Linked DNA regions of Schizosaccharomyces pombe. The protein of the gene in region 2 interacts with the protein of the main gene of each other region in a biochemical or structural test. Each region holds a gene or a part of one and is shown on either strand. Other genes may lie near its edges.

Region 1 (16,024 bases), on a different chromosome or scaffold from region 2:
ATGTTTATTGTTATAAAAAGTCTATTAGTATTGGTCACCGATATAGCTAATAACTGAACTGAGGAACGAGATTCAGTGGTAGCTCTATTTGTAACCTTCTTGATAGCTGATATCAATGTTTATTCATGTATATAGAAGGGCAGTCTATCCGCATTTATCAGTAAACGGATCTTAAGTAATATCTTAACATAGGAAATGTAGTGATACGCAACGTAGTGTATCATAAGTGTGGTATTGCTGACAGTATCTGTGTTAACAATATTTTGGGCTGTGGAGAATTTGACTTGTATTTCGTTATATTGTAATATGTAGCTCCTGCAGGTAGCAAGTATTATAAGTATTCATATACTTAAGCTATAAATTAACTTATAAGATATCTTTAATTGGACTTCGTTCCTCGTGTTCAATTTAAGATCCTTTTAAAATCTTTTTCATAGAATCTACAATGTTTTCTAAATAAACCGATAGTCTTTTGATTTTATCAATAAGAGATTTTAGCTGGTAATTCCAACGTAAAGCGTATAGTGATATACAACGTAATGAATTGTAGCGTATCTTAGAATTGTTGGCATATGTACAATCGTACTTTGACAATATCAATCAATTGATCAATATTGTCTATCACCTTGAAAGCTAATAATGATATATGAAACCAATATATATGTATATATATATATAAACTCTTTCCTCGAGCTGGAACAGGAATCCCCTTGTTCCCTCCTACCTTTATTTCGTTTTCAACCTTCTAACCTCGTTATGGTAATATTCATTTTCTAAATGTACTGCCTAGTTTCTTTCATTTGTGAAGCGCTTATGAGCTCAATATCTTGAAATATATTTTTAAAATACAAAAAACGGAGTTCTTATTAGATCAACATTACAGCACTCATCGTGAATGGTATAGCTTCGGCAGCGTAATATGTTACTCGGGCTACTTCGTCAGCCTCCTTATCCTGTACTACATTAAGTAAACAGCTCACAACAACTTAACTTCTTCACAACACACTTGCTTTTTTTGAGTAATTTCAACTGATTTGCAATTGACATTTCCATTGTTTTGTTTTTCTTTGTTGCATTTTTTCTTTTGCAAAGCTTTATATTTGTATCCATTACTTGAAATCTTGTTGGTTTCTAAATTCCTTTCTTTTTTTCCGAATTCATTTTTTCAAAGACACTACGCGGTTGCTTGAAGCTGAAAGAGTTTGCTAATTGCTTATTTCAATCTGCTTTTTGAATTACTCTTGATTAAAGTACAAGTCTTCACTTTTTTTTTCGTGTGAGCGTGTGTGTAGAATTCTTCTTGTTCTCAATTTTTGTATCATGAGAGTTTCTTGGATTAGCGGTCTCTTATTAGTGGCGCACCTGGCTCCTTCCAGCGCCTTCAACCCTTTAAGGTTTTTCCTGGATGACACCTTTTCAAGCGGTGCTACTGAGGAACATTTTATGGGCCCCTCTGATGATGGTTTTGCGCTTCAGCAGCCCACCAATTATGATCCTTCTATGCCATTTCCTTTAGATGAATCGGCATCAGCCGCTGTGGATGCTGTGTCTAATAATTACATTGTCATGTTTAAACCTTCTGTTGACAAATCGAAGCTTGAGCAACATCATCGTTGGATTGAGCATTTACACGAGAAACGATCCTTAGATTTTAAGGATGTATCTACCTTTTTAATGAAGCATACCTTTGAAATTGGAGACGCTTTTCTTGGTTATGCTGGTCGTTTTTCTCCTTGGTTGGTGGCCGAGTTGCAAAAGCACCCCGACATTGCCCTTGTTGAACCTGACCGTGTTATGCATGTTATGACTGAACAAACTTTTGCACCTTGGGGTTTGGCTCGTGTATCTCATCGTAAAAAACTCGGTTTTTTTACCATGACTCGTTACCAATACAATGAGACTGCCGGTGAAGGTGTTACTGCATACGTTATCGATACTGGTATCAACATTGAGCACCAAGATTTTCAAGGCCGTGCCACTTGGGGTGCCACCATTCCCACTGGAGAAGGCGAAGTGGATGATCATGGTCATGGCACTCACGTTGCTGGTACCATTGCAGGAAAAACCTTTGGTGTATCTAAGAATGCCAAACTTGTTGCCGTTAAGGTAATGCGAGCCGATGGTACTGGTACCGTATCAGATATTATTAAAGGTATCGAGTTTGCCTTTAAGCAATCTAAGAAAGACAAGGAATCAATTGCAAGTGTCGTCAATATGTCCATCGGCGGTGATGCAAGTACTGCTCTTGATCTGGCTGTGAATGCCGCTATTGCCGGTGGACTTTTCTTTGCCGTTGCTGCTGGTAATGATGCAGAGGATGCTTGCGGTACCTCTCCAGCCAGAGTTTCCAATGCAATGACTGTTGGTGCTTCTACTTGGAACGATCAAATTGCTTCTTTTAGCAATATTGGATCTTGCGTTGATATCTTTGCTCCTGGTTCTTTAATTTTGTCTGATTGGATTGGATCTAACAGGGCTTCTATGATCCTTTCTGGTACTTCTATGGCTTCTCCTCATGTCGCCGGTTTGGCTGCTTATTTTATCTCTCTCGATCCTTCGCTGGCTAATCATCCTGTGGAGTTGAAGAAGTATATGCTGAAGTTTGCCCTAAAAGACTTATTAAATGGCATTCCTGAGGACACACCTAATGTCCTTGCCTTCAACAATTATGAGTAAACGCTAGTTATGTGTATGTAAATGTTAGCTTGATGACCTTGATTGTTTATTTTTTGATGCTCCGATACGAATGATCAATTAACCAAGTTGTTGAATATCTACTGTCATCAGACGAACAAGCTCAGAGTAATGACATTTGTTATGTTTAGCAATGAAATCATTTAAAACGATACCAATTTGTTCTTTTAGGACTGATTTTTTTTTGTAATGTCAGGTATAGTAGAATTTTATTTCATTTTCTTATCTACTACTTTTTGCACTATTGTTATCGTTCATTCGTACTAGTAGTAAATATGTAGTTTGACAAGTATGGTATATCACTTGGTAAAAAAAAATGCCTTCTGGATTCACCGTTATAATTTTGTCTTATACCGCTTATTAAAATTGATTCCCTTACCACCAACAATTCGTTTTACAGTTCAATTTGTATTGTTCCCCTATCCTCTCAGCTTGATGATTACAAATATTTGCTCAAAGTGGATGCTTTAATTTAAATTTTCATGGTAGTTCCTACTCCATTTTACGTTTTACGTGGTCATTCTAGCAGTGTCACTAGTGTACTTTTTGACGCTAATGAATACTTATATTCTGGTGATGAGGCAGGTTTTGTAATTTGTTGGTGTCTTACTAGTATGCGACCAAAATGCGCCTGGAGAGCTCATACAAAAACCATATTGGGCATGCAAATAGTCAAGGGAGGAGCCTTATGCACTCACGGTAGAGACTGTCGTCTCGTCACTTGGAAAATCGATTTTAATTGCATGACCGACAATTTTATGTCATTATCAAAACTAGCTGAACTTCAAAATTACGGTCCTGAAGCCTCTTCTGAAACTGAGAAGAGCAGCGCATTTATATCTATTCATTCCAATATCGTTGTTAATTCCCTAACCTTTTGCCCCTTCTCTTACTCTCCTCAATCTAAAATAGTAGTTTTATGCAATACATTGAACTTTGAAGAGCTTGATGTATATGATGATGAATCATTGTATCATCCTCAAACACACAAAGAGGATTGCGGAAAAAGACTACAGACGAGAATTCAGCCAGAAGAGTCTGTTGGTAAAACAGGATCAGTAATGTCAACCTCAGTAACCGTTACTGACGAGAAGTATGTACTATTAGCTGCCGGTTACGAAAGCGGTCATGTGGTTCAGTACATATGTTCATTAGAAAATGTAAAGACTGTTACCCTCGATTTTAAAGCTGTTTGGAAGATGGTTTACGCCTACAAAAGTCATTCTCAACCAGTTTTATCGGTAGAGTACGCTGGTTCCAAATTATTTTCAACGGGTGCTGATGACTGTATATGTCTGCATCCTACTCCTTCATCTATAGCTGATGATCTTGGTAGTCTGCCTCATCCTATATTTAGAAAGACAAAGCATTGTGGACAACAAAATATTCGTATACGAAGTGATAACAAGATATTAGCAACTGCAGGATGGGATGGTCGAGGTCGTGTTTACAGCTGCCAGACATTAGCTCCTTTAGCGGTTTTGAAATATCACTCCGATGGTATTAATAGTTTGGCCTTTCATCCAGGCAGCAACGTGATTGCGTTAGCTAGTAAAGACACCAGAATATCTCTCTGGAAGTTGTATTAGGGCAAAAGTTTAGGACATTACAGTTACGTTTAATCCATCATCATTTTCAAGAAATCATTTACTTTTGGTTTGCAGGATTCAATTCATTCTTATTACAATACGCGCATTTTTATCAATAACCATTGAAATGATTTTAAACGTATTACATATATTAAATATATTAAATATCAGACTAGTAAATGCTTAATCTTCCAGTATTTTGATATCGCCTCAAATAAGATGAGCGATTCATATGCAAGCATAGAAAGTACGAAAGACATAATTCTAACCTGAGCTATATTAAGTAGTGACATTAGTTTTATAACGGCAAAGAGCCATTGTTTATGTATAGTGATGTTTATAGTACAAGGACGTAATTTTGACGGTCAAAATTTTTACAGTTAGTTTGATGTTGCTTGGCAGTTTCAATCTAAATGGAAACCTTTGCAACAGGAATTGTCATTCTCTCCGACTTCCAAAGATTATGATATTCGACGATTCGAGTAGCAACATCGACGAAATCGGTGTTCTCATCGGTATTTTTCATGACTATATCTAAACCGGATTTATAAGACTCTTTCTCAATTTCATCATTTCCTTCGATGTACCTTGATAAATCTTGTATAATTTCATCATCTGTATAAAGGTTAGTCAAAAATCAACAGCACAAATACCATAACCCGTCATTTTAATGTCGCGAAAATGCGACGCCTCGCAATGGTCATCATTACAAACACCACCAGTGGTTTCGTATTTACAGAAAACTTTCATCGGCTCTATCTTATTGCTGTAGGTAAGCGACCGATATTTCAACGGTACTCGCTCAACAAATTGTTGATTAAATCGATAAGATTTAAAGCGGTAAAATGGAGAGATATAATCGACAAGCGGTACCTTATCCTCAAAATCTGTTTCCGTCGTCCCATTTGGCGCGTTTGACGTTTTGGAAGACAAAATCTGTGATGAGTTCTCATCTGCTTGGGCGGAAACCTCGGTTATTGAGTCCATACTTAAATCAGATTCTTTAGGTAAACATGCAACATTTCCTTTCCCTTGTTGTTCGAGTAACTGTTTTTTCCTAGTGTACAATTGTGTTAGAATCTCAGTTTTTGATTTCACCAAAGTTTGATATTTTGTTAGTTCTCCTTCCTCTTTTTCTATTAAGTTATTTAAAATGTCAATCTCGGATTTTTTAATCTGTGCGGGATGCTCTTCATGTACCACAGCAATTTGTTCCGTCTTTCTGAGCCAAGGTGCCTCTAATATCTGCTCAGTTGTATCAGAATTCGTAGTTGCAGCACTAGACGAGGCTCCTGACGAGCTAATAGAAGGTCCAGCCTCCACAAAATCGGCTTTGGAACTAAGATCAACGACTTTTTCAAAGGTATCCAAGTGTGTTTTAGATTTGTTGTCAACCGCAGCTACAGGGACAGATGGAAGTTTCATATCGGCGGCAGAAGTTGGCGATCTATACGGTTTTTTATTAGACTCAAGCCGTAAGATCAACTTTGTCATTCGCCGTATTTCCTCTTCTTTATTGCGAAGAAGCGCCAAGTAATCTGAACGAGACATAGTAAGACCATTTTCACTATTTGAGGGGGGCTTTTCTAAATTAGATTGTTCTATCTTCGAATTCGAAAAGTCATCTCCATCATCATCGGAATCAAATTCAATAACTACATTTGGAGTCGAGGAGCCAAAAGGCTTCGAAGAAGATAGCCAATCGTCCTGCTTCAAAAGTGGTAAAGATATAAGATTTTTTCTTTCAGGAAGGACGGTAGGTGTACCATTATCGCCAGGTAATATATGTGTGTCACTAAGATTACTGTCAATCTTACGAAGTTTAGCAGACCTAGCAGCTTTGTCTGCAGATAGTGTCAGACTTCCTTGGGAGCTAGCAGAAGAGGAATCCAGTCCGAGCTTTAAAAATAAAGTATGAACAACCGAAGGCTCGATGCCCTCAGCAATAAAATCGTTAAAGCGCACTCCTACTTCAAACAACTGACTCACAGCTTTCTCTGCTTCCTTTTGATTAGTAGTCTTGGAATAATTTGCATCAGAATTTTTAGATGTTGAAAGAAAAGGTGATTTTTCTGATTTTGCCTTTTCACTCTTTTGATAAGAAGTGTCGGATGATAAAGCCAATGGTCGGCTAGTAGCGGTATCTTTAAGAGCCCGGTTTTCTTTAAATGACTGGGAAGTATTAGAAGAATCCGATGTTTCAGAAGACTTCGCCTTATTTCGGTTGTTGAATGAATTCTCAGATGACCGTTTGCGCTTCGAAAAGGTTTTGTTTGAGGAGGCGGTTTGAGGAAAGAAAGGAACTGTATTTGGTCCAAACATCAAAGCTGGAGGAAGCATAAAAGGTGCGCCAAATGGAAAAAAATTCGCGTTAGTTCCAGGAAATCTAGTGTGTTAGTTAGATAAGACACCTGATGGGTTGAATGTATTCAAGTTCGAAAAAAAAAAAGGAAATTTTACAAATTGTCATTCTCGTAATCCCAAAGTTGGAGTTAAACCGTACAGAACAGCATAACTAGCGGAGAATAGCTCCGTAGAAAAGATAAATAAGCTGCACTGACAGGTTTAATCAAATGCCATGCTTACCTATCAAAAGGAGGCAACTGAGGAATTTGCTCAGGAAAGGTTGGTACTTTCATTGGCGGAACTAAACTGTTAAAAAAACGAATTCATTTAAACGGTGAGAAAATTGAAAAGATGGATATCAAAACATAATTTCCAAATACATATAAAAGGCTTCTGCCAGCTTTATTTTTCTCTCTTTAAAAAAAAAAAAGCCACGCATATAAATAGAGATATGAAATGTTCTAAACGAATGCAAGCAATCGTCGAGGAAAACTCAATAAAATGCGAACAAGCCTATAAAAACAAAAAGTCTCGTTTCACAATATATTTGTGTAAATTTCCATCTCTAATCTACCTTACCTGAATTTGATTGATCTATAACAGGATCGTCTTCGCTAATTTCGCCATCTTCTTTGTCAGAGTCATTACTCTCATCTTCTTCATTCTTCTTTTTTGATTCTAAAGCCTTTTTTCGCAACTCATCGAGATTTATTGACCGGGACATTTATTTACAGCTAAAACTGGGTTAGTAGTGCCAAATTTCAACAGCAGATGTTTTGTTTGTAGTACCAGTTAAGACAGTGAAACGCGAAAAACATTAAATATTATTGCACATAAAGTTTTTTCACCTCAGAGCATGTTATTCCCTAATAAAGATATTGATGGTTGAATACTTTCTTATTTGTTCTAATGAACTGTCTGAAATATGCACTAAGACTCTTTATTTACAAAACATTCGGAATTAGTCTATTGAACAGGTATACTGAATGTAGCAAATATATTTTCAAACAATTTTAAAAAGTAACACAAGAACAGCTAATATGTTCAGCCTTATTGGCTTGCTCATACGAAAAGTGTAGCGGTGATTCAAAGCTTTCGCATCCAATTATCTTTTGCTAGTTTACAGCACAAATTTACGCGAAGGTGAAATAACATTTTTGAGTTATCAAATTATAGCGGGAAATCTGCTTTTAATGGACTAGTCAGTAATTTAGTAGCGGCCGCCTTGTCTCATAAATAGAAACATAGAACATCTGGAGAAGTTCAAGAAAAATAGCGAAAATGAGAAAACTGTGTTTTAAACCTTTGTCCAATAATGATAATGTTTTCTACTAGCATATCCTTCTATGAGCACATGAGAAAAAGAAATATTCTTTCGCTCAGTTCGGTTTTAACGTTGGAACAGTCTTTGGCCTTTATTAAAAACTTGAAGTTCATAAACTAAAAACAACAAAAACATTGTGCTTTATGCAAATTTCGTGTGCAATAAAAGTTCGGGTATCCGTTTATGATGTTTTAGCACGAAAGCCGACTATTGACAGTAACACTGGTAATAGCTCTTTTTACTAAAAACCCTCATCGAAAAGGTAGTTCCGTATCTGATTACAAGGCCGATCGTGCAAAAATACTAAAGACCGAGGAATATGTAATCGTGCAGTTTTATAACATACTCTTCCGTTGCTTAAGTTATTAATCTGAATTTAGTCTGTTTAATCCGTTACATGAAAAATTTAGCCTTTCAGGAGCTTGAAGAAATGATTTAAGATCAAAACGCTTTCATGTAATCACCTAACAAAAATGCTAGATTTTGTTATTATTTATTATTGAAATTCCCCCATAAACCTCGAAATTTTAAGACCGGTCAAGTTATCATTTGAGGCTAACAGGCGGCCTTCAAGCATTTAAAACGAAAGACCGTATTCATAGATTATTTATTGGTAATCTCAATGAGGCTAGTACCTTTGATCTGTTACTACTTGCGAACATACTATTTGTCTCCAAATGTTTGCTGTAGTGTATGCTCGCGCTCCCTCAATCGTTCAGAAAGTTCAAAGCAATGCAATTTCAATTCAGAGTTTACTTTTTCCAATTTTCGAACTCGCTTTGTTTCTCTCATCAACTGCTCTTGAAAAACTGACCGCAGTGACTTTTCGGATTTTGCGTTCTTACCTGGCATAAACTCCTCACAAGGAATTTGTTTTTCTTCTAAGAAGATTTCCTTGTAAGCTTCAAGTTCTAAAATAACTTTTTCAAGATCTTCTTGCTTCATCTGAAGTTCATTTGCTAACATGCGTTTGGATTCGGCCAAATAAGTATACGCATTTTCCAATGAATCGTATACCATCCCCTCCTTGAAGTGCAGTTCAGGTACTACAGCATTATTCTGTAAGTCAATGTTCAATGACTCATCCTTTTGGACAACAATATTTCTCACGTCAACATTTTCTCCCAATAATTTTCTGTTTTTATCCATATCGCGCAGAGCTATGTCTGACATCTCTTTAAATACGGAAACTTTCTCACCAGATGGGGACTTAGTGATTGAGATTTTTGTGTTGTTGGAAATAGAAGATGAATCATTAAAGCTTTTGACTAATTTACTAACCCTTCCTGAGATAGAAGTATTATTTTCGCTTTCTTGCCCTAGTTGCTCAAAGTCTGAACAAGAAGGTGATCTGCAATCAGTATTTACACCGATAAGCTTATCTTCAAGTAACGACTGAAGAGTAATTTTATAATTCCTTAACTCGATTTCCTTCGTTTGGTATTCTTGATCCTTTTGTACAAACTTTTTTGTTATATAAGTCAGCTCATCAGAAAGTGTATGTTCATCAAGATCTTCAAGCTTTGTAGATGGATTAATTCCAGCTTGAGAGCATACGTTTTTGTAAACAATGAACAAAAGATTAAATATTGAAATTCCTTTTCGTACACTTTCGGAAATTTGGGATTCGGTAGCATTAGATGAATCACTTTTAGCGAACGATGGCTCGACAAGCTGTAAAAAAGAATAGAGGTGCTCTTTTTTATTAATAAATGATTGATAAGAGTTTAACAAACTGGCTAATTTGGATTCACTTAACTCCAATTGCTGCTTCAATATCTCATTCTCCTTATTCGCGGTTTCCAGGTGTGCTCTACCTTCAGAAAGTTTGGAGTTTACTGAATTTAACTCTGCATTCTTTTCAGAAATCTCACACTGTAAACTATTGTTAGTTTGACTTAAAGTCTCCAAACTGTCATGGAGCTTCTCAATAGTTAGCTCTTGATCCCTGATTTGGCTTTTTAAAAATGCAGAGCGCCCGATTTCATCGTCAAGATTTCCCTTAGTGTTTTTTAAATCCTTCTGTAATCCATCCCGTTCATCAGTCAAACTAAAGACCGTGTCAAATTGAGAGAGTTGCTCATCCTTTAGGCATTTCATTTCTTCATCAAGTCTCAAAACCTTACTTGATTCCACTTCAAGATTGTTCTTTAATTCATTAAGTTCTTCCATAAGATATTCATTTTTTCGAAATACATTCTCCATATCCTTTATTGACGACTGTATTTGTTCTTGATAAAGTAGATCCCTTTGTTCACTAACAGAAGACTGAAACTCCAATAAGCCTGCTTTTTCTCTAAGACTTTCGGAAAGTCTTGAAATTTTTAATTCTTTTGCTCGAAAATCATCATCATAATGACTAATTAATGCCTCCTTGTTGTTTAACTTTTGACGCGCTTCTTTCATCTCGGTTTCATAATTGGCGTTCATTTCTCTCAGATTTTTTTCATCATTTTTAACAGTTTCTAGAGCTTCTTGCAATGACTGATTTCTTTCTAGCAACGCTTTGATTTGATCCTGTAACTTCTCGGTTTCAAGTTTTAAATCCCTGTTTTGGGTTTGAATTTCATTAATAGAATTTTGAGCTATAGAAAGCTTTTCTTCATAACTGATAGTTTTATTTTCGGCTTGTTTCAAATTTGACGCTACTATACTTAGAGATTTCTGCAACAACTGACGCGCGGCTTCACTGTTAAACTTGTCTTCCAATGCGTTGTTATGCTTGGACACAAGGCACACATACTTGTCGTTCATAATAGAAGAATGAAGTTTGAGCTCCTCAACAAGAGAACATAAATAGGCAATTCGTTTCAGAGATGTGTCACTCCAATCACTATTCGATGACTCCATATCTTTTAGAACATCAGGTAATTCATAATCGCCAAATAAGAATTTCCATGTTTTTTCTAACGAATGGCATCGTCGTAGTTGAATTTCTGTGTTTAGTTGCCTTGCTTGAAAGGAAAAGTTTACTTGAAGCATAACATTGTGCACTTGAAGTAGTTCAGTCAAAGTAGCAAAAGATTTAAATCGAGAAAGTAATTGAGAAAATGTTTGGTTATCTAAAGAAAATTTATAAAGCGTCAAAGTGAAATTATGGCCATCAGCCAGTGAACTGAAATATTTTTTTGCATTAGTAGTAACATTTGGTAGATTTTGGCACAATAGAAGTATAAGTTTAAGCTGAACTGATTCAATCCCAACGTGTTCTTCGTTGCATATGCATTTGATAATTTTTCTACTGCAATAAAAGCAAGTATCCCGCCGAGAAACTTGTAAATCTTTCTCTTCTCTAGCGCTGGAAGCATGATAAGCATTTGGTGATTTTGTTAAAGTTACATCTGCAGTGGTTGATTGATTATTCCCTTCCGATTTAACTAAGAGTTTAAAACTGTTTAAAAGATAATAGGAAGGACTCTTTAGCTTGAAATTCAAAAGTTGACGCGCTTGAGTTGAGAGCAAAGAAACAGGAAATATCCCGTTATGCGTACGCAAATGATTTTCGTGAGTTTCTTTAGTCATTAAGTATTTAATCAAATAAGTTAGGCTTTTCTAAAATATAATTTTGAGCAAGCAATCTACCAATTGTAAGATTTATCAACGATGCTTCTAATTCGAAGATGTAAATCCTGCACTTATAGAAAAGAAATAACGGAAAAAAGAAATACTTTTAACATCAATTAGGAAAAGCATTAAACCTTCAGGTTGTAAATGCACTCAACAATCGTGTTTGTGACAGTGGGAAATGGAGGTAAATAAACACTACAATAACTTCTTATATGGGTGTTTAATGTTCTAAGGTATTCAAAGCAAGGGCGTTAGCATAGCTTTAAAAGATAATAGTAAGTTTATTCAATTATTGAAACACTTTTCAGTCTATTTATTTATAATAAAAATAATGTATAGTTGAAGCTGTAAAGTGATGAACTTTGTCGGTCCAAAGTAAACAAATATTATAGAATACAGCGCTAATACTACTAGCAAAATAAAGTCACCTTCTGAAAAAAAATGTAGTTGCAAAGAAAGAGAGACAAACCTCAAAAATTTAATGAAGAAATATGAGGTCCTTTAATCCCAAGAAGCATTCATGCAAGTCTAAAGACATAAAGTAATTACAAAGCCGAAACAGGTTTATCATTCATCTTCAAATCTTAGGCATAATCTCTGTACTACTTTGATAATTCACCTAAGTATACAGAAACGCTTTGGGGTCAATATACCATCACAAAAGAGAAAAAAATTGAAAAAGACTGATTGTGATCAGCGCAAAAGTTTTATAAAATTATTGAAAGAAACAAACAGCTTTAGAATTCAAAACAGTTTACAAGGGAAAATATTATAGTGCTGAGCTATAAAACGCGTTGATGAAAGCGCTGAAAAAAAAAAAAAAAAGAAAGTTGATCATCAGGACATAAGCATTGGCTTCATATAATTCAATAATGTCACCAATATTGCCAACTTGATTGGCTAACGTACAAAATACATGCAAAATTAATCGTAAAGAGATGTAGAATTATGAGGGAAAGATTAAATCAACCACGAAAGAAACTTTTTTGTTTGCGCAAGCTATAATTTACAAAAATTGCTCGAACACAACCCGTAACAGTTTCCAAACCAGATCAAATGCGTGTATTTAGTATTATCGAATTGCCCGGTTCGAACACTTTAAGCACATTATACCAAGAAATGACCACCCACCCACATTTCAAACGATCAATCATCTTTCCATGAACCGGCAAAGAAATGTTGAACATACGCCATCGGATCATTTGGAGACTTGCTACCCATGTGACCGACACCAGGACTAAATGCAGTTATGGGTAGGATTAAAACATCTCCAACAAGATAAGGTTCTTCTAAATTGGTGATATTCTCAACCGAGAAAGGGCCATACTGCCAATTTAAATAATCCATAATGGCATCGGTCCAAATACCTGGACCAGTCCACTCCATTACTGACTCGCCATTTTTCGAAAGCTTCTTTGAATCATGCAGCTTCCAAGTTTCATCGGTAATTCTACGAACAAGTTCCCAAAGAATTGGATGGCCTGGTGCAGCAGCTATGGTCCACTGACAGAATTGTACACGCCTGGCATAGTAGTCGTTCCAATCAGGGCGGTCGGGATCTGCTTCAATGCCAACGATCAGTCGAATATTACGCTTACGATATTCACGAGGGATCCAATTGTTTATATGCTTCAATGGTGCCGTATCAATGTCGCTATAAATACCACCTTTTGCCAATAACACTAGATACCGAAAGAAATCGGCCTTCAGAACAGGCAGAGGCATCATTGCATACGCTTGTGAAATCTTGGAAACTGATGAATCGCCAAAGCTACTGATGACCAATGCTTTAGACTGCTCATCGTCTAAAACAGCATGAGAATAACTGGGATGGTTGATTCTCCAAAACCGAGTGTACTTCATAACCTCTCTATCAAAAGGGTCCTTGGAAGTTTGCCATATTAACTTGGGAATGTCAGCGTGATAAGGCACCTCAAATTCATAAGTATCTTTAGGAACGATCATGTGTACAGCTTCATTTTCTTCGTCAAAATCTTGAAGCTGTGAAAAGGAGTACCGTAGATGAAGTTTATAATTATTTTCTTCATCAAGTTCTTCCAAGCTGTGTTCCAGCTCTTCCCTCTCCAAATCGCTCAAGTAAGCTTCCAAATCTGGATCTTCTTCTTCTTCAATGTAAGACGGTTGATCATACAAAAGTTCCTCCTCCTCCTGTTGACCAACATAATCTTTATTAGCGGCTTCCGGAGTGTAATCCTCCAACATCGAAATCTCTGTCAAATCTTCCATTCCTTCTATGCTACCATGATTGAATAACAACAGTATGGATCCCGCTATCGCAGCTCCTATTACAATACTTCTCAATCGGAGTCTCAACATGCTGAACTCGTTATATGCTAATGCTCAATGTATCAATTAATTACTTAGTTCGTTAACAAAGACTCATTAATGTGTACTTAATGCAGCTAGGATACAGATTTTGCGGTTTTTCATAGAATCGCAGCAAAACACAGGTGGGCGCTCTGGCTGAGTTTGCGCAGATGCTCTTACTTTAACTTCGCACAAGCGACCCGAAAATCGAAGGGCTTTAATGTGATATTACTCTATAATAGCAACAGCCACACTTGATTGCGGTACCGTGCGTAATATCAGTCCAAGTATTGTCGGCTGTAGTTAACGGTGTGTGTTAGGTGTATGTACACAATAACAGAAAAAGGTTACCCAAAGCACCACCCATAATATAGAAGTGTAAGCAGCGATCCACTTCAAATCCGTTCTTTTGAGTATCCAAGCTGTTTGAATAATTGGAAAGCCGGAGAATTGGCATTAATATACGTACTCCGGCTTCTCGTGTATAATAAGAGGAATTTGGTGAAGTTTCCATGTTCAAATAAGACGACTTGTCTTGTAGAACCTTTTATTGTTGAAAGTAATTGGAGCGTTAAAAAAAAAGGTACTACTTGAATTTGAAAAATATCTTTCTTCTCTTTCTGTTGTTGTGTCGGTACGGACGATTGGTATCAGAAAAGCCCCTTTGCATAGCGCCGTTTTTCTAAAACTTGCGATACCTCGAGAGGGTAGTAAAATTAGAATCAACAAACAAGAAAATGCTTCGCAATGGAGCTCAGAATGGAAATATAAACTCTGAGTCTCATGAATCGTTTGGTAAAGCAGCTAAAGGATTTCGTATTTTTTCATCATTTAGCAGTAGCCAAAAACTGTTCCAAAGAAGGAGTTCTGGCTCTATCACACATTCTCCTACCGCTTTATCATCTACCACATCCCTTAATGAAAATGATGGCAATCATTTTCGTCCTGCATCGAGCCTTAGCTTTTCTCCCTCTTCGCTATCCAGAAAAGATTCGGGTCCTGGAGATGGCTTAGAAGTTAATAAAAAAAATAATTTTTATCGCCGTTCTTCCTCCACAGATGATTTTGGCATTTCTCATGCACGTAGTAGGAAAGAAATACAATCGCTCGGTAGACCCCATACTCGCCAGTCGTTTTCCGTCTCTGATGTATCTAATGGCAGTTCTTATCCTAACATTCGAAAAAATAGCGTCCATGTTAATGCACCCATGCCATCTTTTCCTGAAGGATCAACTGCCGTCTTACTTAAGCATCACTCAGGCTCCAAGTCTGCATCTGCGATTTCGAACATCGCCCCTTCGCATTCCAATTCTACCTCATCTCGTCGCCCTTATATACATCCGGCTTTTCTTTCTCAAGTCGCCGTTGAGTTCCGAAAGCGTCTTAACATCGGTGACCGTGTGAAGGATGGTCTTCTTTATAAAGATGCCTTTCTTGGATCGGAAGCTGTCGATGTATTGATGCATATAGTTCGGACGACTGACAGGAATTTGGCGTTACTTTTAGGAAGAGCCCTGGATTCGCAAAAGATGTTTCATGACGTTACTTACTCTCATAGACTTCGCGACTCGCTCAAGGAAGTTTACCAGTACCGACGTATCATTTCTCCTCCTCCTGGTCTCTCCTCGATGGATTCCAATGGATCGTCGATCGAAAATAACTTTCTCTACACAAAAAGAAGAGCGAACACGTCTGATTCATTTGACTCTGTTTTATCTGATTCTTCTACGACACCTACCATCTCCTCGTCTGTACAGGTAAATTCTTTAGCTTTCATCACCTCATCCCTAAGCGCAATTACTAAGGAGCCTGAAGCTCCTGAAACCGAATACAATCCTCATGGAGTGTTTACTCTTTTAACGGAATGCTACTCCTCTACATGTTCTCGTAATCGCCTTTGCTATTCTATATCTTGCCCACGTCGACTAGAGCAGCAGGCCCGTCTCCATTTGAAGGTCCAACCTGTATTAAGTGGGGGATCAACTTCGATTACAGATAAACAAGAGGAAGATCATCGTTTATGGTCGGAAAATGTTCCTAAGCAAGTTGTAGACCAGATCGATGTCCGTGAATGGAAAAGACAGGAAATCATTTTTGAGGTTATTTACACAGAACGGGACTTCGTCAGAGACCTAGAGTATATACGTGACTTTTGGATTAAGCCTCTTTCAACCTC
Region 2 (16,024 bases):
TACCATCGAATTTTGAAACGTAGAGAAGCTCGCGCAAAGTTAGAAGAGAGATTGCGTGGTGTGCAGACTACGAAAAAACCATATTTACATGAATCAAGGCATAAGCATGCTATGCGACGACCTCGTGGTCCTGGTGGCCGATTCTTGACTGCTGACAAAGTATCAAAATTGAGAGCGCAGGAAGCTGCAGAGGCAGCTGCTAATGGAGGAAGTACAGGAGACGATGTTAATGCCACAAATGCCAATGATGCCACCGTGCCTGCAACCGTTTCTTCTGAAGTGACTCACACGTCTGAAGGATATGCGGATAGCAATGATTCAAGACCTAGCTCTATCTCCAACTCGTCTGAGTCTCCAGCTCCTATCAATTCTGCCACAGCATCTATGTCTCCTGCTAACAATACTTCTGGAAACAACATTACTTCTCCAAATGTCAGAGGCGAGCTAGACATGAGTGGTAATATTGCCATGTCGGGTGGGCCCACTAATACCGCTTCCACCTCGGGGCCAGTGCCTCATGATATGACAGTGCTCCCACAGACCGACTCAAACACATCGAATCTTATGTCCAGTGGTTCTCAACTAGGCAGTTTTGCTACAGCTTCTACCAATGGCAACAACTCTACTACTACTACTACTTCGTCAGCTGCTCATCCAGGGTCATTTCATAAAGGTACTAATGATTATTCATCTACACTAGCTGGAAATGAGCATAGTGCTTTTCCTGGTCTGGATGTGTATCACGATGATAGCGTGTCTGCAGGTGCAGCTTTTATACCACACAATCCAATGGATTCGATTGATCACCTTGATGTCAATGATCCTACAGCCACAGGTCTCCCTGTACTACCAGCGAGCGATATCGATCCTCTTAATTTAACAGGCAATACCCAAGATTCTATGATAATTGGTCAGCAAACATATCCCTCACACGGTTCTTCAGGAACCATGAAGTAGTCAACTAATTAAGGCTGAGAGAGATACAAAACAATCACAAGACTGTGTATAGGTTGTCGACCTACCGACAAAGTTCAATTTAGGACTGCAATGTTGTTGGTGATTTTTTGAGAAAGAAACAAGTCGAAATCACTCAGTCATGGCCTTTTTGCATATCATATTATACTCATTATTTTTTTAGTCACCGATTTATTATCCATCAATTTGTTTTGACTTTTTTCGTTCTGCCCAATTTTTTTTTTTTATTTAACTCATATCCCTCCTGCTGTCTTTTTCTTATTCCAATAATATTTTTTCTCCGACCTGATTCTTCTGTTATTGTTTTTTTAGTGTTTTTTTTTCTGTTTCTTTCAAACTTTGATCGTGCAGCTTAAGCTCTTTCTTAAATGCAACAATACATTCTACTGTCTCATGTCATGCTTTTGACTCTCTTGATCTACATCAACCTTAATTAGTGACATTACTTACCAAGTAGCCAGCGTATCCCAACCAGGCTAAATAAGGAATTAACCATTTGGAAGCCGTTGGTGCAAGAGGCCACCATGTCTTTGCAAGCCAACCAACAAGTCCCGTCAAAATGCCGAGATCGGCAAGAGCCAATTTTGGTTTTGCTAATCCGTAGAACAAGGGCATCCAAGCAAAGTTAGCGGCCAACTGTGCAATGTATAAAATGGATCCATTTCGAGAGGCATTCGTAATCATCAAAGGGTCAGCCTTGTACGCCAAATGGGATGCATATCCCATTGTTAGGTATAGTAGTGTCCATGCTGGTCCAAAGGCAGATGCAGGGGGGTGGAACTTTGGTTGCTTTTTGTTCTCATAATCCTTTCTTGGCTTGTAGGAATTCCCAATGAACCAGCCGCAGGCGACTGGAACGAGAGAAGCGGACCACCAATTTTTGGAGATGCTAGTGAATACTTGATAGTTCAAATCCATCACACTTAATAATATCGTTTACTGTTGATTAGCGAAATCGGGAAAAAAAAATTCCACGAATGTAAAGAGTACTAACAACGACTGCTACTAAAAAACCATAAGTATTTCGAATCTTAATGCAGCTCGTTTACAAACAGCAGAGATAATGTCGAGATACAAAAGGTCTTTCAAACCATGCTAAGCAAATAGACATGGAGTAGCTAGAGTTAAGTTTGATAATTAAAACTGACATACATTAAACTAGAAATTTGGAGAAGAGTTGTTGAAACTTCTAATTGAATTGAAGATTAGTAAAATTGGACCATAAAGCTTAACCATCTTTCAATCTTCCATACATTTTAAAAACGGGCACAGTATCGATATGAGAGAAATACGATACTAAACTAAAATAAAAGGAAATACTTAATTGTAGTTTGATCTTGGAAGCTACTCGAATGTATAATTCACCATATTTATAACCTCGTCTATTACGTCACAGAAGGGAAGGAGGAGCGAGGTATTGGGGTATAATACGTGTTCATACTGCGTAAGGTGGTGGTAGATGTGTCTCGCTAAAAAGTGTTTATAAGGAGTTTTCCATAAGATAATATTTTCAGTACAACTAAATTTTTTATATTATTAATATTATATTATAAAATTATGTATATCTATTAGTAGCAGCGCTTGTTTTCTGTAATAGAATATATTTGGGCTGGTCAAATGCGGTTAATTATCATCACACAGATGAGATTTATGGGCAAATTTAGTTATAAAATTAGATAAGACAACAAAGAGAGAAGAAAGGTTTATTTCGGTGCTTTTGTTTCTTACTTTCAGAAGAATCTTTCTCTTGGGCATTATCTGGATGTCTTACTGCCCACAGAACAAACAAACTGTCATTGAATGGCTGAGTTCTTGTTTCAATATCTAATATCGCTATACAATAGCTCTCAAAGTAATGCACCACTACTACAACTTAAGTTCTTCACTTTTTGAGTAAGGATGCAAACTATGAGACCGGGTTTTTTTAGCTCAAATGTCGCTGAAAAGCGTTTTCTTTATAGTTTTATCATGAATGATCTCATATATTGATAAGTAGCAATCGTGTCTTTCCATGTCGAAGCCTCAAAACATTATATCCATATAATGCAAAACCATTTATTCCACCACTTCTAATGAAATTTATAAGTTGGTAAAATGTCCGTATTTCAAATTGCTTCTCCACAATATCTTCCATTTATGAGCAAACGATATTACCTCTATATTGTCAAGTTAAAATGTTTACATTGATATATTATATTAAACTATAACATAACTATATTACCTTATAAGGCGATTTCTGCTGGATGCAGTTAGTGAACAAGAATTATCTGAGGATAGACCTCTAATTGCAGTCAGAGATTTACTACAGATGATTATACAAGAAAAATTTAGATATATTTTTTAAGCGATGTAATTTATTGATAGTGACATGAAAGTAAGCCAACCCTCGAAACCCAAATTTACCACCATTATGCTCTTGCTCTATCAATTAAACACAAAATTAACGACACGCTTTTCATCCTTATCTTTTTATAATTGCATTGTGAAATAAACTATCATTATTCTATTTAACGCAATGATAAACTTCGCAATCAGGCTTTACGTTATGGCTTTGCTTCCGTGAATTGTTCCCTACGCGAATCCTGCTGAATCCACTAAAAGATCCAATGCAGCTTAGCTAGCGAACATTAGCGCAGCGATCAACTGACATAAGATATCTGGGTATGCCGACGCTTCTCTTTTCCATATCACAAAAATGAGTTGGCATGGATTCAAAAAGGCCGTTAACCGAGCGGGTACCTCGGTATGTATTTGAGTGTTGAAGAATTGTCTAACATTGTGGTAGGTTATGATGAAGACGGGTCATGTTGAGCGAACGGTGGATCGGGAATTTGAAACAGAGGAAAGACGTTATAGAACTATGGAATCAGCTGCAAAGAAGCTTCAAAAAGAAGCCAAAGGTTATCTCGATGCTTTGAGAGCCATGACTGCGTCTCAAACTAGAATCGCTAACACAATCGATGCATTTTACGGTGATGCTGGATCGAAGGATGGTGTCAGTGCATACTATCGACAAGTCGTCGAAGACTTGGACGCCGATACCGTAAAAGAGTTGGACGGTCCTTTCCGGACAACGGTGTTGGATCCCATCTCAAGGTTCTGCAGTTACTTTCCCGATATTAATGCCGCTATCACGAAGCGTAATCACAAATTACTTGATCATGATGCTATGAGGGCTAAGGTTCAAAAACTGGTCGACAAGCCTTCCAACGACACTACTAAGCTTCCCCGTACCGAGAAAGAAGCAGCCATGGCGAAGGAGGTCTACGAGACACTCAATAATCAACTGGTCAGTGAGCTTCCGCAACTAATTGCTCTTCGTGTGCCTTATTTGGACCCTAGCTTTGAAGCCCTTGTCAAAATTCAGCTCCGCTTTTGTAGGGAGGGATATGAGAAAATGGCTCAAGTTCAGCAATACTTTGACAACTCTGTACGCGAAGACTATTCCAATGGTTTGTTGGATGATAAAGTTGAACAAGTTTTACAGAGTATGCGGGATCTTTCCATCGCCGGTTTGAACAACAGTCAGTAGACATCGGTTTTTTAAACACGATTGTATGTGTGCATAGCGCTATCACTCTGTTTTCTCTTTCCTTTTCTCCTCCGAAATAATTGTTACTACACGTAACCATGATCTCTTATCCCTCAATACTTTTTGTTTAACATATCCTTTCTCTTTTACTACTTTATTACCATCTTATCTTGTTTATCTGAAGTGGTTCACGGAATGTTTTCAATTTATTCAATTTTTTGTGATACATAAATATTTTCCATACTTATCTATCCTCGAGTATTTTCTATTGGTGTTACTGGAATTGAAGGGAAAGCCAGCACATATTTATTAAAGACTCAACTGTGAAGCTTCTACATCCTTTCAGTTTCGTAACGTTTCCTTTATAATTTTTTAATTGGGAATAGTTATCAAATTATCAGATAAACAAATTGGTTTTCCAATATTGTCTGTCGACCCAGCGATTCATCTACTAAACTGTGCTTATTTTCTATCTCGTACCAAGTTTTGTTCTAATAAATAACTATTGTTAAGTAAGTTTAGACCAAATCTTAAAATATAATAATTAGAAAAAAAAATGCTTTTGTTGACTTACGAATTATTAATTTGAATTGTAATTTATTAATTTTCCAAACAATAGCTATCTTGTAAGCTGTAAGTCAAGTTGGAAGTGGGTTTATTTCTATCTGTGCAGCGTTCGATGTTTGATTTTCGAACATGGACTTAAGCGTTCAATTTTACAATAGCTGTGAATGTAGATTATCGCTACTTTAAAATCTAAAATATAGTATGGAGCTACAACTGCTAGTAACGTCTATACAGGAAATGATATTAACCAAAAATCTTTCTGACTAAGAACATAAATTTAGTAATCTAATTCTGGAACCTCCTGGTTAGGCGCATCCAAATCTTGATAAGTTCTATAGAATTCCCGTCTGTGGATCATGGGTTCTTGCCTCGAATAAGATTTTTGTGATGATGCTCCAGAAGTTATCTCCTCGTCATTTCGTCGACTATAGCTTGTTGTTGGAAATGTATAGTTTGCGTTAATATTTCTGAAACCAACGTAGGGCTTGTTTAAAATCTGTAAGGATACATACGACGTGCTTACCACTTTGGGATCCATAGCCCTACATGGGTCAAGCACATATCCATAGAGACATATAGCCACCTTTTTAATGTGATCCAACCAATCCTTATGCTTTTTATTTATATGCTTTCTGACAAACTCAGGTCCTAAGAAAAGCTTCGCGCATGTTCCGACATGACACCTATATTTTTGTTCATCTTCTTTCATAATAACAGAGTCCAATTCGTTATTAATAAAATCTTCAACGGGTAATGCCCCTTTTGCTTTAATATCCACATTTTCAGGCTCAAGAAGGCAAGCAAAATTGTTTTCCAAATCTGACAACCAAATATTTTCTTCTTGACCGACTTCTTTGGATGGATTAAACTTTTTCCGCGAGTAACCTGCAGGACTATCCTGCAGTAAAGCAATTAAACTTTCGTACTCTTTACTAGTCCAGAAATCAAAAGTAGCCACTTGGCGAAGATACTCGGCGTACAGATCACTTAAACGAATGTCATGAAAATTCGTCGGCTTATCATCGTCATCTTTCATAGATGCATGTGTTTTCAATCGATCTTCGATACGTTGTGCAGCATCATTTGGTAAACTATACTTCGTACTAGCCCGATCTATAAAACGGATTAGTTTTTCTAGCAAATTTTTACATGTCTGCTCAGAAGAAGCGATTTCAAAAATAGGTATGGGATGCGTGTGAGTAGGAATTTTTGGATTTTCAGATTCAATAGTAAAATTTGAATCCAATTGAATCCCATCCACCGCTTCTTTAGCTCCATCCATATTTGTTCCTGCTTTGAAATGAACCCAAAGTGAGCGTTCATCATTCTTGATTAAATTAATAGTAGAAAGGGAAAAATGTTGTACGAACGAAATACCATCGAGTGCATTATGAATTTGCGCAACCGAGATGTTGGGCAAAACATGACTGACCAATAGTGTATTTTCCATTGCATCGTTTCGAGAGTCTTGGTTCCATTTGGAAAGTTGCGGGTCGTTAGAAGGAAGAATTGAGTCATCTGTATCATTATCAGGTATTGACGGCTTTTCGATTACATCCTCAGCGGTTGGAAGCTGAAAATCATCATAATAACCGGCGTCTAATCTGTCCATGAATTTATCGTATAACGCCCGGCGATAAGATTTCTCATTTTCAGACACTTCAAGGACTCTTCCTTGTGACTCGTCCACCCAATAGCTGTCTTCAAACCAAGCTTCGTCACAATGGCTCTCAACAAAACTTCTTGCGGTCCTAGCGTATAGATCCTGTTTATAATTGTTGTAAGTTCCATGAAGCGAGTTGTATAAGTCTTCAGTTGTTGCGGATATATGGTTTTCCTTGCTATACCACCGAATAAACCGTTCATAAGAAACCGCATTTGTTTGAGTATATGGATCAATTAAACTAGTCTCCTTGTTAGAAAACTTTGGTTTTTCACTCACATCGAGTAGAGTATTTATTTAGTCGTAACTTACGGTTTAGTAAATGTAGGGTAAGGTCCAGAAGCTAGACGTATTGTAGTTAATAGGTCAATTCATAGAATTTTATATTTATTCTTACCTCTTGTTCTATCATCATAGTAATTACCACGCTTTCGTAGAGGAGACCGTTCTCGATGATACGCAGACTGTTCACCAGGGGGGCTCTGTGAACGTCTTTGACTCCGTTCTATGCAAAAAAAGGATGAGTATTTCTATCAAACTAAACATTAACAACTTACCAGGAGAGCGTTCTCTTTTCCAACGACTGTACTCTACTTCACTTTCTTGATGGACCTCACTCATATTTTGACACTGTTCCCCTTCTATAAATACCAGCAATCGGGATTAATTTATTAAAAAACTAATGATTTCAATTGGGTCAAAATTGGTACTCAACCTGCTTAGTTGAAGAATGTTCTTACGAGAGAGAAATATCCATACAGCACTTTATGCTGGTACACTAAGTTTCATTATTCAAAATATAGAAAATTGTCAAATACTTTATTATACGCATCAGTATATCTAAATAAACTGAGATTATAAAAGCAAATGATTAAACAAAAAAGTGAGACTTCGAATTTTATGCGAATGCTATTGAACAATTAATACTAAACATTGTCTCATTATCGTCAATAAATACAATGTTGGATTACTTAAAAAACTGTGCTTACAAAGAGCTTAGAAGCACTCTCACAAAAGTAAACAATAACATCTGTTTTCAAATCACTGAAGATCTAATTTCCATTGTATAAACGGTCAAGAAAGGTACAACTTGCATACCAATAGTAACTTTGGTAGCATAGAGTAAGATTTCTTTTACTTTTGTTCTCTGCTTCAGATATTGAAGCGTAAGTTATCTCATTTCTTGTGCAACAAAAAAAAAGTAGCTTTTGCACGTCCTCTAAAAGATATGCCTCAGACAAAAAATTTAAAAAAAAAAACAACCAAATAAATAATAACATGAAAAATGAATTAAGCACGTTTGCTTTAAGAGATTTATTCGAGCTCAACACCGGGCCAACCTTGGAGATCACTTAACTGGGCTCGTATATAACTAGTGTTTGCTCCAGGATAGGACTGAGAGGCAAGATCAGTACTTTGGAATCCAATCAAAAATACTTTGCGAAGCATTTCCCAAAGTTCCTCATTTGATTCGCAGCTCTCCATTGAGGTAGAACTGTTTTGTATAATATCAATTGCAGCAAGTAGATGTTTTGCAGCATCTTCAAAGTATCCTAAATTGATGTTGGAAACAGCCATGTTTGAGCGAACTCGAACATACTGGGGCTGTAGAGATACTGCCCGATTATAGGAAGAAACAGCTTCAGTATTTTTTTCTGCATTTGTTAAAGCAGCACCAAGCTTATTCCACAATATTTCGTTACTTGGTTCGTCTTGAAGAGCTTGCCGAAAACAATCTGCAGAACGCTCATACTCCTTCAACATATACATAATTATTCCTAATCCAGCTTGTACCTTGGAGGAACGCTTCTTAGCAAGTGATAACTCATAAGCTACATCCAAGAAATACATCTGCATTTTCAAGAGATCGTTAGCAGAATCTTTCTCTTCAAACCTTTCGTTTATCTTTGCAAACCTGTTTCGGTATTGGGGAAAACTGTTGACTATCCAGTCTTCTAAGCAAACCAATGCCTGAACATTTAGAGACTGATTAACATAAGACACAGCAAGATCCATCATTAAGTCAAGATTGGTTGAATCCAATTTGACAGCTTCAAGTAGGGCTTCAACAACCCGCGATTCGTTTCCCAATAGAGTATGAATGCGACCTAACCATTTCCAGGCCTCGAAGTGCTGTGGATTCTCTTTCACAGATTGTTCCAATAACACAGCTGCTTTCGAGATAGATCCTCCATTTTTTATTAAATTCATGGCTTCAACAAATGGATCTATTCCGTTTAGCTCTTTCACAACCTCTGAAGATTCATCTTGGTTCTGTGAATATACATCTTCCGTTTGTAAAGAGTTTTCAACAACGTTATCAGTATCGCTATGCTGGAAAATTTGAGGATCTATGTTTTTATTATGAGCTAAATTATCATTAGCAAAGCTATTCACAGACGAAGTGTAAGGATCGTCAGAAATATTGTTTGACTTTAAAAAATCTTCCCATTGTTTCTGGTATTCCTCTAAACTTGCGGGCTCTAGCCCGGCGTTTTTCAATTGCTTTTGATGCTCTTCCCATAGCTCCTCAATTGATTTACTTCCAGTAGCATCCTTTTCCTTCTCTAATTTATTGGAGATTTGAGAAGCTTCCTCAAATTTCTTAGCCAACTCAGTTTCGTCAATAGCTAAAGAACTTTGTAAGGGTATTTCAGTATTTGAAGATAAATTTAGTCCAGCGGAACCAAAAAAAGATTGTTTTAAAGGTTGGTTTAAGTTTCGAAAACGGTCGTTTTCAGATGAATTGAGAAATACTTCAGAGAATTCTGATGTCCAAGCCGACTTACTATTCTGCTGCTGAAGAGAAGAAAAAGAATGTACCCAATTTTCTTTCGAGCCTCCACGAGTAGTTGTGCCGGTATGATTTCCAGTTTTTAAGCTAACTGGGTTCTTAACTACATTACCTAAAGGACTATTGTTTCCTTGGAGATTTTTGAAAGATGTGAATTGATCCTCAGACAGCGTTTGCAAAGGAGCGTAAGTACGACTTTGAGACTTGGTTAAATGTTTTCGATATTGAGCTGAAGGTGTTGAATTATTGACAACAGCTGTGGAAGTCAATTTCTTAAGAGGATTAGATAGCGTTGAACATCCTGCTTCAACAGACATTTTTGAAGAAAGTAGACTATAGCCAATATAAAGGCTCTCGACCAAAAGGAAATAGTTTTTTAAGTAGGTTGTAAGAAAATTAATATCAAAGAATGAAAAATTTCGCAACTTGATTGAATTTGCGATGTGTTTTAAAAACCAAAAATATGAAAACAAAAAAGCGGAAGAAGTAACGATGCAACTAACCAAAAAACAAAAATTGATCGCACCAATGATTGTTACAAAACTTGCGTATAAACTCAGGCATGTATTGCTGCTTATTACCAATTACAAAAATATTTAGATGAGTGCGCTCAGTTCATGTAGATGCTGAGCGTAGCACGTTAGATTAATCGCTTCTGTAATACACCACATTAACCCATATCAATTTATAATAAAGACTTTCTCTTTATTTTTTCAGACTAATCTATTGCCACTAAGGAATTTAGATTTCAACATTTTATTATACTTTTGTAAACCATGCTGCATATGTTAAAACCATAGCTTTATGATACAGAGAAAAAAATCCATATTATTTCTAAGTTCTTTTCAAATTAGTGTGATTAGAAAGTTAAACCAAGGGTTGGATTGAAGTATTAACTCTACATCTATTTATTCACCTGTTGTCTAAATTACAACGCCAAATGAATTAAATCACCAAATACTTCTGTCGCTCACAATAAAATGTATTAAAAAACTAATTAATTTTCGCTAGTCAATATTCGCTGTAACAATGGTTTTGGTTGTTTTCTGCTTAATACCAATTGATGCCACCTACAGTTCACATCCGACAAATATTTGTTAAAGAACCTGTCGCTAATTAAAGTGCTAAAAATCGCTCGTTCAAATTGTGATCTCATTATGAATTAGCATATTAGTTGGCGAATTTAATAAAGCCAAGTAATAAATTGATGATGTTATAATAACGAAAACATTGTATACAACAACAATTCCGCTTCATAAGTAAAAAAAGGTATTTAAATTATACGAGTCTTACAAACTATTAAAAGTCTTTGCCGAAAAACTATCGCGTAAGAACCATTTGCATTGATTTTACACAACTTTGAATACAATTTCTTTTATACCAAGAAGCTTAAAGTGTTCAATTATGATAAACAATGACTAATCCAGAGCAATTGAAGAGGATACTTTCCCACGAAGTTCTGCTGAAAATTGAAATGTCAAAAAATGGAATAGTGGAATATGCCAATCCTGCATTTTTTGAATTAATCGGCTACGAAGGAGATTTATTTCAATGTAGTTTCTATGAGTATCTTCAAAGCGATGATGAACACTTAATGAAGAAAGCAACCGATAATCTTTTCAGAAAAAGCATATCAGTTGCACATGTCTTTGCTTTTCTCAGATGTAATCCAATACGCAGTCCTAATTATTATATTCAACAAGCCAAAGCTCCATTTGAGGGAAAGACGTATATTAGAATGCTTTTTCGAGGCATTCTAGTAGACTCATTGTATGGTAAAGATACAAGGGTTTTGTGGGCAGGAAAATATTTATATCCACAACGGTCCGTGATCAACGAAATGGATTTCATCCTGTTTAACACGTTAGGGATTGGTGCCTTCATTCTTCATGATCATTTGCTCGGAATAATCAAATACAATTATATACACGTTCCTCCTCCTTCAGGAAAATTATGTTCGTTGTGTGAAGATAATTTACCAGAGTGGTACTTTGAGGTACATAGCGATTTTTGCCTTGTTTGGAATGATCTCGTACGCCGCGTTTTCGCCGTACAACAATTGATAAATTGTAAGAAGCTGGAAATAGAAGACATAGTTAACAAACTCCCTACGGGTAGTAATCATATGGTTGAAGAAACCTTTCTTTCCTTGCCGGTCATAACAGTATTCAACGGGAAGAAAAACAGAAAACAGAGGTTTCGCATTCGATCATGGAGAAGCTCTCTGAACTTTTTGGTTAAGGAACTGGACAAATCCATTAAAAATTTTGCTTATTTAGAACATCGAACGTTTTTGACAATTTCAAATTCTGCCGCGAAAGACATGAAGCGAGAGATTTATGAAAAATCATTGGTGAATTGGGAGTATGATTTTCTTGTTCCCTCAAAGATCCAGGATTATTTTTACGATGTTCATTCACTTCTTTTGAAAAATTTATCGTCTAAAATAAAACTCTGTAATCACATTTTAATGTATCAAGCAACGTTTAATGAAGTTAAAAATTTTCTTCAAACGTACTCCTTGAATATGCTATCAATTGAGATGGAAAACATCGAAGGAAGTCTGTACTTTGGAAATGCTCAATTGTCCAATCTAATTTGCGTAAACCAATACCTTTCCGAACAGAGACCAGTGTTTTTCAACAGGCTGTTAGCCCTTGGGAACGTTGAAAATAATAATTCAATTTACGATGACATCCAGAAACGAACAGAACGTATATCTACCATAAAAAGACATAAAAAATACTTTGAGATTGGAGAACGCTTAACAGAAAAAGACTTAATTGTGTCTAAAACCTTTAAAACAACAAGGATAGATTATTTTAAAGCGGTAAAGGGATCAATTGAAGATCTGGATGTGAGACCTCTAAAAAATCGGCAGAAATTTGTTAACAAATTCTATGCCTCGATCGTTCATTTTCTTACCGAAAGTATGCAGTTCCCAAGCCATAATGATAGGAGATTTGGGGATAATACTCCTCACTCATTAGACGAGTTCATACTTTTAAAAGAAATAAACAGAGGGGCATACGGTAGGGTTTATCTTGCTAAAAAAAGATCTTCAGGAAAGTATTTTGCTCTTAAAATGATTCCAAAATCCAGTCTTGATAGCTTAAAAAAAATAAAAGGACTATTGCTTGAAAAGCGTAACATGCATATCCAAAGATATGGACCAAACACAGTGAAATTATATTATGCATTTGATTCTGGGGACTACCTATGCCTTGTAATGGATTATTTTAATGGAGGAGATTGTGAAACACTTATTCAAAAATTAGGACCGTTACCAGAGCAATGGGTTTGCCAGTACGCAGCTGAATTACTAAATGCTATCGAGCTTTTGCATCAGGATGGAATCATCCATCACGACATAAAGCCTGCCAACATGTTGGTTGACGAAACAGGACATATTCGGCTTACAGACTTCGGACTGAGTGAAAACGTAGAGGAAAAAAAAGAGGTTTATAAGCTTACTAAGAGGATGTCATTTGAACAGAAACATGGAAATTTGTATGAGCAGCTTCAACCTAAAAAATTCGAATTTGTAAGATATGTTCGAAATTACCGCGGGAATATTGATGAGCTTGAGAAAGCGGAGAGTCCACAGCAAAATAGTGATTATGCCAATGACTCGGTCCAGCATTTACTTGACTTTGATATCAATAACATGGATGAAACAGCAATACACATGTTAATGAATCAGTTAGAGAAAAAGGAAAACCGGACATTCATCAAAAAAGATATTTCAGGGACGCCAAATTATATGGCTCCAGAAATTTTAATGGGCGTTGATACTCAGATGGGCGATATATGGGCGATGGGTTGTGTGATATTCGAAATGTTGACTGGCACGCGACCATTTGAAGCAAATACTGTAAAAGCAATATGGGCTCGCATAGAGAGAAATGATATTGGTTGGACTAAAAGAGTGAAAGAAAGCTGCTCAAAGGAGGCGGTAGACTTAATCACCAAACTCATGGATCCAGACTGTAACAAACGGCTGGGTAGCAATGGATACCAGGAAATCAAAAAACATCCTTTTTTTCGAACCATTAAATGGGATAATTTAAATAGTGGGCCAGGTCCGTTCGTTCCACAAACAGAAAATGTTGAAGATTTGACGTACTTTGAAAAAAACATAAGCGGTTCGGATAATATTAATAAAAATAATTGTCAGACGTCAGCAACTTTAATTCTAAATGGTATTTTTGCTTTTCATCCTCCTCCAAAAGCAACACCAGCTGACAGTGGTACTGAAACCTCAAACTCAGCTGCTTTCTCTGCGTCCGAGGAGGAGACCACAAATTTAACAGACCAAAAACGAAAAGATCTTTTTTCACTAATAACCAAAGCGTTTAAGGGAATAGACTTAAAGGCCCTTAATTACAACAACAAAGCCACGCTTTTGCGAATGTATGATGAGGTCGATTTCCCCAAAAATCAACAAAGAAATAAAGAGAAATTTCGAATTCAGAAACGACCTAACAAAAAGTATCGCTACCATTTATTTTAACATCATGTAAAACCATAGACATAACATGTTCGCTATCCAGAACGAATCATGATAAGTTGAAAAATGGTTAATTAATATTTCCATACAGAAACAGTAAAAAGACAAATAAACTTGTTCTACAAAATCTTTTATTCTGAGGCTTTAGCCAAATAATGCTTCTAACATAAGTTGATGTTTCCTCCTTGAATCCAAATATTATTAATAGTTGAATTTCATATATGAAAAAAAGCTATCTCATTTCACTAAACGTTTCAAAGGATGACATTTCCTATACGACAGAACATTTAAGAGGACTGAATAGTTTACGAATTGAAGTAAGTTAGAACAAAGTGTTTACCGCATATCTTTGAAAGCGTTAAATGATTTTAACAATATTTTTCGCATCGTTATTCAAGTAAGTATTATTTGACAGATTATATGATATACCTAACAATACTCCTTTATATCATTGATTTTGAACATTCGCCGAAATGTTTAGTTGGGCTAATATTGGGTCCAACGAGTATTTGCCTTTGAAAAATGATCGAAAGGCTTATTTGAATCAATGGGCAAAACGATCGGGACTAGCAATTGCCGCTATTTGCATTTTAGGAATTCTGATATTGGCAATTGTGAAATTATTTTGCTTCAAAGCAATTATTTTTCCTATCGTTGGAGGTTCCTTCAACAATGGGACCAATGTTTTTCAGTCCACTGTCATCGTAATCTCCTTGGATGGATTCCGTGCTGATTACTTATATCGTGGGTTCACACCTAATCTTCTGAGCCTGGCTGAACGTAATGTCCATGTTCCCTTTTTGATTCCTTCTTTTCCTAGTATAACTTTCCCTAATCACTATACTATTGTTACCGGTTTATATCCCGAGAGCCATGGAATCGTTAGTAACAACTTTTTTGATCCTGTAACTGGGAAGCAATTTGTCAACAGTATGCCTGAATGTAACAAAGACCCAACTTGGTGGGATAAAGGGGAGCCTATATGGGTCAACGCTGAGCGAAATAACGTTCGATCAGCGGTACATATGTGGCCTGGAAATGAAGTGGAGAATCATGGTTACAGACCTACTTATTCGGATGGTTTCAATTTTGATACGACTCTAAGAGAAAAGAAAGATAGAATACTCGAATGGCTGGATCTTCCTGATAAAGACCGCCCTCAGTTATTACTTGCTTATGCTCCCCATGTAGATATGGTTGGGCACGCATTTGGACCGGATTCGCCTGAACTGAATATCATAATTCAAGAAGTTGATATCGTAATTGGTGAACTAATTGAAGGACTGAAGAAAAGAAATATCGATAAGCATGTCAACATTATTTTTTTAAGTGATCATGGAATGGCGCCTACATCCGATAATCGTCTTATCTGGCTGGATAATATGTTTAATTTGTCTGCCGTTGCACACAGAGATGCTTGGCCGTTAGGAGGTTTTAGAGGAGAATCTGATTTAGATGATGAGTACATTTACGAAAGTCTTGTTAATTATTCTCGCTCGTCATTACCTTCTGCTGAGAATTGGAATGTTTATTCAAAGAAAGATATACCTTCTCGATGGCATTACTCAAATAATGAAAGAATAGCTCCCGTTTGGATGATCCCGGATGTTGGATGGTCTCTTGTCTCGATGCTGGATCATTCACCGGAGTTGGAGTATGAGCCTTTGGGTGTACATGGTTATGACAATTTGTCTCCAGTGATGAGAGCACTTTTTATCGCTTCAGGATCTTCTTTTAAGAATTTTAAGGGAAAGAAGCTTGCACCGTTCCAGAACACCGAAATTTATGGCATTCTTTCGCATATATTAGATTTACCAGCTCAGCCTAATAATGGTACATATGAAGGTGCTTTACCTTTAAGAAGAAATCGTAATTCTACTAAGGAATGGTTGCTGAAGGACATAGAACAAGCATACTCTAAGCTTATTTAATTCTGCTGTTTTATCACTATCTTTATATTTTTTAATATTTTTAATTTCCTTT

What was found.
Region 1: the proteins of pir2 (region 2) and red1 are reported together in a solved structure, tested with the Schizosaccharomyces pombe proteins (one study listed by BioGRID).

What each region holds. Positions count from the first base shown.
Region 1 is NC_003424.3:5,066,520-5,082,543, forward strand, and holds red1 (protein Red1), read right to left. Parts: upstream 7,380-16,024; 5' UTR 7,354-7,379; coding exon 7,209-7,353; exon of another isoform or gene 6,931-7,208; coding exon 6,870-6,930; intron 6,670-6,869; coding exon 4,943-6,669; intron 4,899-4,942; coding exon 4,693-4,898; 3' UTR 4,412-4,692; downstream 1-4,411. Other genes in the region: serine protease Psp3, read left to right, coding at 1,321-2,676; ASTRA-associated protein 1 Asa1, read left to right, coding at 3,177-4,283; protein mcp3, read right to left, coding at 8,617-11,475; Golgi alpha-1,6-mannosyltransferase Och1, read right to left, coding at 12,667-13,857; RhoGEF for Rho1 Rgf2, read left to right, coding at 14,586-16,024. UniProt on the Schizosaccharomyces pombe protein: Promotes the exosome-mediated degradation of mRNAs containing a DSR (determinant of selective removal) signal sequence from mitotic cells.
Region 2 is NC_003423.3:1,210,843-1,226,866, reverse strand, and holds pir2 (C2H2-type zinc finger domain-containing protein), read right to left. Parts: upstream 7,463-16,024; 5' UTR 7,359-7,462; coding exon 7,295-7,358; intron 7,243-7,294; coding exon 7,135-7,242; intron 7,081-7,134; coding exon 7,050-7,080; intron 6,979-7,049; coding exon 5,352-6,978; 3' UTR 5,277-5,351; downstream 1-5,276. Other genes in the region: CCAAT-binding factor complex subunit Php2, read left to right, coding at 1-957; tsp0 (tspO-like protein), read right to left, coding at 872-898, 1,426-1,893; BAR adaptor protein Hob3, read left to right, coding at 3,671-3,718, 3,761-4,507; peroxisomal targeting signal receptor Pex5, read right to left, coding at 8,052-9,848; serine/threonine protein kinase Ppk31, read left to right, coding at 10,946-14,044; npp1 (nucleotide pyrophosphatase), read left to right, coding at 14,515-15,972.